Bombyx mori: one gene and its partners. The protein of the gene in region 3 interacts with the protein of the main gene of each other region in a biochemical or structural test. Links are inferred from orthologs where the notes say so. Each region holds a gene or a part of one and is shown on either strand. Other genes may lie near its edges.

Region 1 (4,397 bases), on a different chromosome or scaffold from region 3:
TTTCTGGACAATTTATACCCATTTAAAATTATATTATATTATTAGGTATAGTCTAGCCAGGTAATATTAACCATCGAAACATTACATAAGTAAAATTGACATCATCATCATCTCAGCCTGTTCACTGTCCACTGCTGAACATAGGCCTCTCCAACCAATCTCCAGTGCGGCTGGTTCATTGCCACCTGTATTCTACGTGACCTAGCGATTCTCACCAGTCGTCGATCCATCTGTTAGGTGGCCGTCCCACACTGCATTTGCCAGTATGTGGTCTCCACTCGAGGATTTTTCCACCCCAATGGCCGTTCAATTTCCGCGCTATGTGGCCTGCCCACTGCCACTTCAGCTTGCTAATCCTAGAGGCTATGTCAGCAACTTTGGCTTTTCTACAGATCTCATTTCTGATTCAGTCTCGTAGAGTAATACCAAGCATAGCCCTCTTCATAGCTCGCTGCGCGACCCTAAGCTTCCTACAAATATCCCTTGTGAAGCACCACATCTTGGAACCGTAAGTCATCACTAGTAAAACACATTAGTTTACACCTGTTTCTTAAGGCACTGAGCGATTTTGGACGGGAACACATTTTTTAATTTACTGAATGCGACCGAACCATTTTTTATTTTGAAATTTATATATTTTCAATTACATAATTATTATTAAAATTTTAATGAAATGGTAGAGACAAATGGGATCCCTGAACCCTTTGACTGGCATGTAAGTCACTGGTGCTCTATCTGGAGCACTGAAACAGTTATCAAGTGCCTGGATTGTCAACTTTTGTTTTTAATATATATTTTAGTCTTTTAGGCTATTTGAAATAGATTCATTCTTAGTATCTTCGGATTCATAGTTGTCCAGAGTTTACTAGACATTTCAGTGTCTTAGTAACAGAAATTGACATAAGAACTTCAGTGCACCACGTAGGGTATTGGCAACCTACACGGCAATCAAAGGATTAATAATACCATAATGCCATGTCTGTCTAAATATAATATACGCTGATTCTGATCTAGAGGCTATGGACAAAATCCTTGTATATACTCAACTATGACAGCTCAATTAAACATTTCTCCAGTAAAAGATACTTACCAAATATTAAAGAGCATTCTCTGGTGCGAGGAGCTTAAAACATTAACAGAAAATGGTTTAATCTATTTTGGCATGTAAAAAAACCTAAATTAGTAGCTGAATATATACAGCATGTGGTTTTAAAGATCCAAAAGAAAGAAGCTCACCACAATAAAGTTATCCAACATTCAAAGCAATATTTTTAATCAGTCTGAAGATTAGTTGGATGTTTTACAAATCTCATATTATCTCTTTTGTTTTATTGAAATGGATAATTTCTGTGAGAGATTAAATGGAGAATGAAGGTATAGCTAGAATAGCTGTGATAACCAATATAGCCCAATTATTACGAGGTTGAAGTGACATTATATTGGCATATTGGGAAGGTACATTGGCTCTAGAACAGATGGCATCTAGGGCCAAAAAGTTCAAAAAGTGTGTTCTAAAGTGTGTGGTTGTATGGATTATTGAAGGATGTGGCAATTTGCTAGATGCAGACTACACTGAACCCGGCATTGTGGTGAACTTTGGGGGAGGTCCCAGGTAGTTCAAGTGACAAATAGTTGTCTTTACATTTCTTAATAAATTTTTAAAATTATCCTTAAGAGTGTAATTTTATCAACACTCTCACATTGTTGCTCACAGTTAGTCTGCACTAAGTGCACTGCAGTTATGATGCAATATTTATTAAACGATGTCCTACATAATCAACAACCGACTTGAAAATCAAACTGTTAAATTTTAGTTAAGGAAAACTTTTTGGTGACAATTAAGGTCAAATTTTAGAATCATTTTTAATGCATTCAATTATGATAATGGTAGTTATTAATTAATTACTTGATTTTTGTTTAATTACTCATGAAGATTTATTTCCATATTTGAATTTTGAACTTTTCTAGCATGAATGTTTGGAACAGTTCCACTTTGATTTCTTATCTTGTTCTGTAAACGGAGATCCACCCAGATGTCTATAAGAGTGGACTAATGGTAATGAACCATCCGATTTTTCATTACTATGTTTATGACCAATGTCTTGTTTATGATGGTAAATATGATTTTAATCTCTTGACCTAGAAAAATTTCAAATGTACAACCGATAGGTAGCTATTGGCGTATTTAGTTTTTTCGATTATTTGTTTTTTTAATTTAACCAATTATACACAACTTCAGACATTCCATAACTAGCTTTCACTAACGGCATTTAAGGAAGCGTCTTTATCAAATAGCTCAATTGCATCTGACTATTAAGAAGTTTATGAAACATTATAATAAATTAGTAACAGTACTGGGTACAAATTACAGATGAATATTTTTCATTAAAATAAAAGAAATGGGCTTAAATAGAGTTGGCCTAAATAACTGTTTCGAATGATTCTCAATAATATTTCGTTGACAATAAACGTTTTACGAATAAAACATGATATTACATATAAATTGTTTTAGAACTTACGTTCTCCTGCGAGTCCAAGGTATGCTATTACAGCACAGTCAAGCACATAAAATTCGTCAGCACACTAAATACACTAGAATACGCGAGTTGGCGGTCAGCCGTCTGAGAACTAATAAATAGGATTCCACGCCACTTACACTATGAAAACAGTTTTTTGACATAACACAGTTCACTTTTTGTCTGAAACTTTTATGTAGCCGTTAATCATGTAAAAACGACTTGTACTATCATCCGTGAATACGAGTACGAACACGGCATCGAGCGAAGCGAAAGACCGACCGCGAAAACCATAGATTATACACTTAATATATTCGGCGAAAACCAAAAGCCAACCAACTTCGGTCCGCCCATATCACAGAGTAAATAGCTCGAGAAGTGCATTTATTAATTTTATCATATTAGCAGCAATAGTATATTTAGTTCGTTACATAGGTAGTAAATTTACTAAATTTTGACTATAGAAGTCAGGGAAAGAGTTTACGCAAGAACAATTTGTTCGGTTACTAGCTAGAATGTCTCCGATTCTCTAGCTATTGATTAGTTATTAAGTCAACATCTTCCATTTTTAGCAGTACTTTATATTCTGGGCTTATCTTCTCCTTAACTCTGTCCCTTAAACCTATTTTATGTCCCCACAAACATACTCTATCAGTTAAGCAGGACCTAAGGACTTTTAGTAGGAACGCGAAGGACGAAGTTGTATAAATTGTTTTCGTTTATTTATTTAGCGTTTCATAAAGTTTCAACGTATAACATTTTTAGCTTATTAACCGTTTAGCATCTGTTGTAGTACATAAGTATGGGACAATGAATTAAATCCGCTGGACGTGGCTTCTTGGTTCTTCCAAAAAGTCTACTGAAGTCTTAAAAAATAACCATTGTTTCAATCTAAATTTTGGGACACGTTAATTCAACAGTTTAGAGTTTCTATTTGGTAAAAAAATATTGGGCCGTAGAAACAATGTTTCAAACATTATCTGATGTTTTTTTTAAATATTAATTAATCTAGTTTAATTTAATTATTATAATTTAATTATAATAGTTTAATTTAATTAACTAGATTATTTCAATAATAAACTTATTTGATCCATTAAACGACATTGTAAATAGCATTAACTGAAATATCTTTTATCCAATCTCTTCTAATCACTCTTTGAGAAAGTGATGTCATCGCAACATTCTTATATCTTAGTGAGGGGCAAAAGAAAAAAAAACGAATTTATGACTTAAAAAGTTAACCGATTTGAATAAAATGAAATGTTAAAAAAAGCTTTTAAATTTTCTAAACCTTTAGAGAAACTTCAATTTTATTTACATATTTGAAACAAATAAATTGATGTTCGCTAATTTTCTTTGCTATGCAGTCATCAAAGACCACAGATCAATACATTATCACAGACTATAAAAGATGAGCATGGACTAGTTTGAAAATTTTCCTTTCAATTCGATAGATGGCAGTGGCAGTAGTTTGTGGATAGTAAATGGCCCGTGTGGCCCTTAAATTAGTAGGTACGTGGAAAGAAGATTGCTATCTTCCTCGTGCTTCTCCATTCTAAGTATGGAACTAACCCGCACCAACTTGAAGCCCCTTCAGGTTATTCAATCCCGATTCTGCAGGATAGCCGTCGGAGCACCATGGTTCCTGAGGAACGTGGATCTCCACGATGACCTGGAGCTTGACTCTGTCAGTAAGTATCTACAGTCGGCATCGCTGCGCCATTTTGAGAAGGCGGCACGACATGAGAACCCTCTCATCGTAGCCGCTGGAAATTACATACCCGACCCAGTAGACCGAATGGTAAACCGTCGACGTCGCCCAAAGCACGTCATTACGGATCCTCCTGATCCATTAACGGTGCTCTTAGGCACCACAAGCAC
Region 2 (3,654 bases), on a different chromosome or scaffold from region 3:
ATACAATTATCCTAAACGTCTTAAGTATATGTAAAATTTTGTCATTAGTAAATAATTGTAAGGTAGCGCCCTCTGTGAATTGATATTTTAATTTCACGTATAATCCTAAATTAAAATTCACTACAAGAGCTTTCATACAGACGTTAGTATTAAAAAATCTCACAGATGGCGCTGTATTAAATAGTATGTATATTTCTGTCTCATTCTTTGCTGGTTTCATCCTACACATTTTTGTATTTGTGTCTCTTGCCTGTCGTTTTTTCCGTTGCATCCGGTTTGAAATCACAACGATTCTAAAGAAGTTTTCACTTCAAAAATTTAAAAATTCGAAATTAAATTTAAATTTTAGCCCAGAAAAGGACAAAGTACACTCTTTCTTGTATCTCTGTTCTCGTTTCTTTTAAATCAACCGCATGCCATTGGGTGTTATCTATGTTTAGCCGATCACTGGTCTAGGTGGTTGTGAGGTGACCACATTAACAATAGACTTGTGATTCGAGATATCCTGTCTCGTTCTCTACAAAACGTATTGACGTATAAGTCTGTCTCTGTCTACATCGTAGCTCAGACGGGAAATTAAGGTAGTTTTACATTTCATTAGCAATCCAATCGCCTCCGACTGCTTAAAGTGGGAACTTAAATCAAATATTAAAAAAAATTACTTCAAAACGTCGTATTCATCAAGGATTCTTTGTTTTATACAACCCGTGTAGACAACATACAGACCATCGGTAGGTGAGTGGTTACCGTCGCCCATGGACGACAGCAGAGCCAAGCCGCTGCCTACCTTTAAGTACACGATCCGCGTTAGAAGAAGGACATGTCATATGAAATCCCGAGAATGTTCAATTAAAAACTTTGCAATTGTGAACACATACCACTACACATAGAGCGAGAGCTTCCATTCCTATTCATATACAGTGCATGACTTAGCGACATGAACGTGCGGGCTCGGAGTGCGCCCCGTCCACCTGCCAACCTCAGCACCACAAGCAATACTCACAGCAGTTCGAACTCCTTCATGTTCCACAGGGCGGAGAGCGGCCTCCAAGGAGTGGTGGCTGACGCTAGCAACAGAAGTCCGTCTCTGCTTGTCTGTGGATGCATATGCATGGATTCATAATTATAAGCATAACTCAGCTCCTGAGAGCAACTACTTTTTTGAAGTGAAACTTCTCTAGGCCCGTTGAGAGTAACATTTAACTCGCGACAAATTCGTTACGGCTAGAGAGAAAAGATACAATTTAGGAAGAGCGAGAGTGAGAGAACAGACGCGAGCCAGGTCGTTTCTCACACATTCTGTTTACGGGCGTTGACCACTAGATGGCTTGTTATTACTTTCTCATTGTTCTTGCAGATGACATTAACATAATATCTTACATTTTATTAATAATGAAAGATTTAAAAAAAACATTTTTCCATTTAATAACATTTTAATATATAATATATTATAGATAAATAGTGAAGAGGTTGTTTTCCTTATACTCGGTGTTTCCCGAGCGCTATGACATGTCCTTCTTCAAACGAGGCTTATGGAGAGTATTAAGCGGTAGGCAGCGGCTTGGCTCTGCCCCTGGCATTGCTGAAGTCCATGGGCGACGGTAACCACTCACCATCAGGTGGGCCGTATGCCCGTCTGCCTACAAAGGGAATAAAAAAAAAAAAAAAAACTTCATCTTTAAAGTCACAAATTTATTAAAGTTCTCATCTTTCTTCTTCTTTTTCTAAACCTTATCCCGCAAGGTGGGGTCGGCACAGCGAATTTGTCTATTCCATTCTCTTCTATCAGCCGTCATCTCAACACTCACTCCTTTCTCTCTCTCTCTCTCATATCGTCATTCACACACTCCATCCATGTCTTCTTCGGTCGACCTCTTCGCCCTCTACCTCGCGTTGTCATTTCCATACATATCCTCTCTAAGCAAACCGTCTTTAATTCATTAAAAAAGTTTGTTAAAAGTTCTCATCTCTATATTCACAAATATATTAAAGCTCTCATTTCTATAAAGTCACAACTTACTGGTGGTAGGACCTCTTGTGAGTCCGCGCGGGTAGGTACCACCACCCCGTCTGTTTCTGCCGTGAAGAAGTAATGCGTTTCGGTTTGCAGGGTGGGGCAGCCGTTGTAACTATACTGAGACCTTAGAACTTATATCTCAAGGTGGGTGGCGCATTTACGTTGTACCTGTCTATGGGTTCCAGTATCCACTTAACACCAGGTGGGCTGTGAGCTCGTCCACCCATCTAAGTAATAAAAAAATAAAAAATAAAAGAATCACAAAGCACAAACCTGCATATGATAAATGTAAGATTCGTGAACTTGATAAGAGTTCTCTTCGGCCCCCGTGAACAGATTGAACACTCGGATGTCGCCCGAGGAGGTGGCCGCCAGGAGTTGCTGCTGCGTCGGCTGTACAAACGAAATTAACCTTTATTACAATAGACAGACGTATGAATATTAACTGCTCATACATTAGAAGTTCGTGCCTTTTGCCAGCGGGGTGTTTTTTTTTCTTATCTAAGCTGTTGGCCTTGAGAGACCATTTCAGCGTCGCCTTAACTAGTAGGTGAGCTCACGGGTCTCTAACCTGACGCCGTTGCTAACACGAACCCTAGCAAGAGCCGTGCTTCGCAGAATCTACCACCGGATCGGAAACGCGACCCACTGAGACCCGCTCTTACCCACAGAGGTATTAAATTGAATTTAGGGGATGGCCCTTTAAAGCGTCTGCAAAGCAATTCGGCCGACGGAAAGTGTCTGGGAGTATTGGCGACTTATTTTTAAGGATATTGCCTAAAATATACGTAAAAATCAGCTTTCAGAAAATACGTGAAGTAGGTAATGATTTTATGTACCTTGAGTATCTGATACCTGAAAATTGACCGTCTAAGCAAGCTAGCAGGTAGGCATGCATTCTTAGTACATACTAACACTACGCAATCGGCCACATTTCGTTCGTCAGAAAATACGTGACGTCTGGGGGCCATGGGATCTTACTCTATAAGTACGTATTTCATTAGAACAATTGGTACCCGCCTGCGGGATTCGAACACCGTTTCAACGCTACATACGAATGCACCGGACGTCTTATCCTTTAGGCCACGACGACTTTAAAACCGTTACACCGTTCAAATCCTTTTTTAATACGTTTTATTAGCCTCAGACGTATGTATGTAACGGAATCTTTGAACATGATTTTGACCCCCCTTCAAAACATCGGATTAACTCGAAATTTGGTATACTTATTATGGACCGATGACAAATCAATATAAAAAATTGAAAAAAAAAATATTGAAATTCAACTAAAAAAATTGTGTTAGAAAAATGATTAATGTAAAAAAAGCAAGCGTGGGGTGCATGGTTATTAGTAGTTATAAATATTTTATGAACAGATATGAGTAGAAGGGTTATTTTATAATATCCTGAAAAGCATCCCACGCTTTTTTACAATAAAATTTTTTTTTCTTACATTATTTTTAATTCAAATTTATTAAAAGTAGTAGTCCAGCAGTAGTCGAAATTCGACTATAATTAATTGAAATTATAAGTTTCAGCATTATTATGGTCCTATTGTTACAGATTTCGCCAAGACTACACTACAGACAAATACTCGTAATATTAAAGATAAACAATATTAACCTATTCTCAATTTG
Region 3 (4,408 bases):
AGCGAACTGAGAATTTTAACGTGTTTGTAATGTGTTTAAGCGTTTTAAGTGTTGAATACAGTTTTTAAGTTGTACTTTAGTGGAATTTTATTTATCCCGAACCCCAGCGCGTAACAATATTAATAAATCAAATAAATTAAGTTAAAAATTAAGTCAAATAAATTAAATTCCCTTATTAGCAGCTATTTAAAAAACAACGTTCTAAATAATTGTAAGCATTTTAATTAGCAAAACTACGCATCGCCATGTTATCATACAATGGAATTTGAATGATAAGAATAACATGCTAATAGTGTTATTTTGTAAGGAATACATTATCTTCTACAGATATAAAAATGAATATTTGTAGCTTTGTTGTTGTTCGTTTTCTATGTGATGTCAAACACAATTAAACAGAATCTAACCAAACCATAAATCTAAAGGTGGGCGGTGACAGTCACATTTATAATAAATGGGCTTTGGTAAAGATTTAACTTCGGTGAACCGTGATTTAGTCTACTGATTATTAGGGTTAAGGGTGCGTTATCATTTTAATATTATTAAATAATAAAAATTGTAAAAGTAAGAAACAAAACCTTGATCAAGTAACATATCCCTTTTTTAATTTATGTAAAAAAATTCAATGACAAATTATTCAGCCATCTTATTATAGTTTAAAACATAGTTCTTCTGGTTAGAAGTAGATTGTCCTTTTCATTCCATTTGTCTATTCAGCAATAGCAAGGTTATAAATCCTGTTCAGTAAATTTCTTGACTACTCTTAACTATATAACAGCGGTCCCATCCTTCAAACAGGAGCACATCATTGCTAAGTAGCAGAATTAGGGAGGATCATGGTGCCTACTAGATAGGGCCTACAATATGCTCTAATACTACTGTAAACCATGTTATGTTGGTATACAACTAAGGGAACTATACTGGCTGTTCTCTGGTCAATCTTCGAGTTGCCTTTTCTGACACCCACAGAAAGCTTTGATGTGGTGAAATTTTAGGCATGATTTAATTTATTATTACAATTTACCTCTACCATGCAATTAAGGAAATATAATTTACTAATATTAATAAACAATTCAACAATACAATAATGCTCTTATTTATCCTTAATTATAATGTATTTTGTAATTATACTCAATATTTTTACTGTTATTATTTATATACATATAATATATATATATACGCTTTTAATACATATACATTATATAATACAAATATTTTATTCTTTCAATATTAGTGACGACTCTTAACACTAACTTAGAAAGAAAATTCATCAACACTGTCACTAATGTTAGTGATGTTTAGAATGTATTTTCGAATACAATAATGTATAGTAATGTTTGTTTATTAAGTTTTTTTTTATTGCCTAGATGGTTTGACGAGCTCACAGCCCACCTGGTGTTAAGTGGTTACTGGAGCCCATAGACATCTACAACGTAAATGCGCCACCCACCTTGAGATATAAGTTCTAAGTTCTCAGTATAGTTACAACGGCTGCCTCTCCCTTCAAATCGAAACGCATTACTGCTTCACGGTAGAAATAGGCAGGGTGGTGGTACCTACCCGCACGGCCCCACAAGAAGTCCTACCACCAGTAATTACACAAATTATAATTTTGCAGGTATGATTTTTATTACACAATGTTATTCCTTCACTACGGAAGTCAATCGTGAACATTTGTTAAGTATGTATTTCATTAGAAAAATTGGTACCCGCCTGTGGGATTCGAACACCAGTGCATCGCTCAACACAAATGCACTGGACGTCTTATCCTTTAGGCCACGACGACATCAAATCACAGGTCTCTTAGAGTGGAGCTGTTAGCTAGAGCTGCTATTGGCACAATGGCTGAACATATTCTTTTATGTTGAGACTTCATTGTACTATTTCTGATAAAATTTAATCTTTGACATTCAGTTGAGTGATAACTCATGTTATAATGTCAAAGGAACTCATTAATCTTCACACAAAATATACAGCATTTACAATGTTAAGTATAGTAGAAACTTCTTTGTTAAAAAAATTATATACATCCAAATATATGTGATATTCAAGTTTACATATTTAGCTTGCTTTTAAAAACTGTCTAAAGTTACACATTCTAAAGATATTTATTATAATTAATATAAAATGACTTCTGTTTTTACACTCTTTAATTTTTAAAATTACATTAGTGTTTCTAATATTTAGGAAATGAAAACATTAATCCAAACAAACTTTTTAATTAAATTTCTGAATATTATATTTCTATGTTTTTTAATCAAATCATTTTAAAAGAAATCATCATCATGAAGAAATTTCAAAACTTAAATATTTAACGCGAGCAACCTTACATACATGGTAAAAATTTAAAGATAATTATTATTTATAATGACATTTTTATTAAGCAATGTGGTCAAACAGATAAGAGTCATAGAAGATATGATCATTATACCCTCAACATACAAAGTACTTGCAATGTTCATTAATATCATCAATTAACAAGTGCAGGGCGCCTCCGCATGACTCATAATACGATCGGATGAATACTTAGTACCTACTAAATGGAAATAGTGTAAACAAAAAGGTTTACCACAACAGAAAATACAGTTTACCTCGAGGTTGAACTCCAATTCAGCATCCAATGTGCATACTTTAACTGGAAAAGATTTAGCAGCTTTCTTCCTCCGGAAGGGCGGCATTATTCTTATATCATTTCTCGTTTACAAGAATCACGAAACACCACCGAGGTTATGAATTTTCAACTAGCATTTAACTAATTACACGGCAACGTCTCCCGTTTACGTAATGAACACTCGATAAAGGAATGCGTGTAATTTCACATTGCGTACTATTTCCAGCGGTTATTATTTACAAACAAGAAAAACGTCAATGAAACAAGCAATGCGAAGGTGAATGAAAAACCTATTGAAAGGTAAACGTTCCATTCTACTTTAAAATACATCGGACTGGTCATTGAAATGAAGTTTAGGTCACGTATAACGAAACGTAATATGGATTTGAAAAATGAAAGAAAAAATCGGACAATGGGTTCAATGAAGTGATATTAGTTTAATAAAATGTTGCGGTTGATTCCTGAACTGAAATAGTTTATTTTAATATTATTATTTTTTAGATATTTAATTAATCTAATATTTTTTAAGTAATGTTTTTATTCCGTAGTTTACCTAACTCTAAACTTCAGCTCTCGACCCCGATTAGATGTGATCCACAGTATTTCTAACTACTCTTAAATCTAATTGAAACAGTTTTACTTTGCAGGATAAGACTTGCGTTCATTATCCATTTTGCCTAGAAAGAATGTGTTTGACGTTTGACAGTAATTTGACAACTATTTCATTTTGCTTGCTGCATAGACCTATTTCCTACTTCATTGGCTTGCTGTCATTATTTTCAATCAAAACACTGAACACTTTTTCCCCACGTGTGTTACATCTTTCATTTGCATATTGTTATGAAATACTAAAATGGGTAAATTTAGATCAAAACTTAAAGGCAAAACGAAGGGGAAACGATGGCAGAAAGGACAGTCATCAAATTCGAACCCGAAAATTCAAAAATACAGGGAGATGGCAAAATCCCGGTTTTTTCAGGAAAACTTAGGTATGTTCTCTCTAAAACTTCTCAAAATCATTCGTTATGGAAAAACGGATTTATAAACATCACAAAAAGTTGTTGAACAGTAATTTCAAAGTAAAATTTCCTTATAAAATCATAACCTAGAACATGACTAAATTAACTAATCTCATACTTTTTATGTTAAAATTAAGATAATTTCCTTATAAGTGACTCCTCTAATTAACTTCTACAGGCAGCACTGGCTTAACACAGCAAGCGGTGTCCAAGCATGAAGCTATGATGACATATGGACATAAAACTAACAAAACAAAATCAGATGCTGAAAATGAACTGACCATAGTAAAAGAGCTTGAAAATATGTCGGTCAAGACCGGAGACGAGGGATCAGAGTCTGAATACTCTGGTACATTAAGATCAGGAACATTTAAGACATTTCAAACATTTGCATCTGATTGGAGTCAATGTTCAAATATCAGCTTTCATAAGTAAGTTAAAGTTTAAATAGATATTTTAATTTTATTGCAGTATTTGAGACAGTACCTGAAAACAGGTTTCTATACTCACAATTGCTAATGTGATATTGAAAATAAAATACAAAATGTGGATAATTACTTAAGTAAGCCTTTATATGCACTTTAGTTATGACTTTAAATAGTCATGACTAGGAATTATTTGGAAAACTACTTGGAATAGAAATTATTTGGAATTCAGTGGAATACTGAATTATAATTCTAAGATGAAACTTAGGACATGTTCTTCTTAAAAAAATCTCTTTTAATCTTTTTTCATTTCATACTTTAAGTACCACTTTTTCATGAGAGACTTGCTTATTATA

What was found.
Region 1: the proteins of merlin (region 3) and spectrin beta chain form a complex in vitro, tested with the Homo sapiens proteins (2 studies listed by BioGRID and IntAct). The link is inferred for Bombyx mori from reciprocal best matches to the Homo sapiens genes NF2 and SPTBN1.
Region 2: the proteins of merlin (region 3) and protein mahjong form a complex in vitro, tested with the Homo sapiens proteins (3 studies listed by BioGRID, with this or other methods). The link is inferred for Bombyx mori from reciprocal best matches to the Homo sapiens genes NF2 and DCAF1.

The regions. Positions count from the first base shown.
Region 1 is NC_085124.1:11,160,249-11,164,645, forward strand, and holds the start of spectrin beta chain, read right to left. Parts: upstream 2,880-4,397; 5' UTR 2,520-2,879; intron 1-2,519. UniProt on the Homo sapiens protein: Fodrin, which seems to be involved in secretion, interacts with calmodulin in a calcium-dependent manner and is thus candidate for the calcium-dependent movement of the cytoskeleton at the membrane.
Region 2 is NC_085130.1:15,862,348-15,866,001, forward strand, and holds part of protein mahjong, read right to left. Parts: intron 2,411-3,654; coding exon 2,291-2,410; intron 1,096-2,290; coding exon 1,004-1,095; intron 1-1,003. UniProt on the Homo sapiens protein: Acts both as a substrate recognition component of E3 ubiquitin-protein ligase complexes and as an atypical serine/threonine-protein kinase, playing key roles in various processes such as cell cycle, telomerase regulation and histone modification.
Region 3 is NC_085122.1:2,607,239-2,611,646, forward strand, and holds the start of merlin, read right to left. Parts: upstream 2,914-4,408; 5' UTR 2,676-2,913; coding exon 2,589-2,675; intron 1-2,588. Other genes in the region: RRP12-like protein, read left to right, coding at 3,462-3,597, 3,806-4,058. UniProt on the Homo sapiens protein: Probable regulator of the Hippo/SWH (Sav/Wts/Hpo) signaling pathway, a signaling pathway that plays a pivotal role in tumor suppression by restricting proliferation and promoting apoptosis.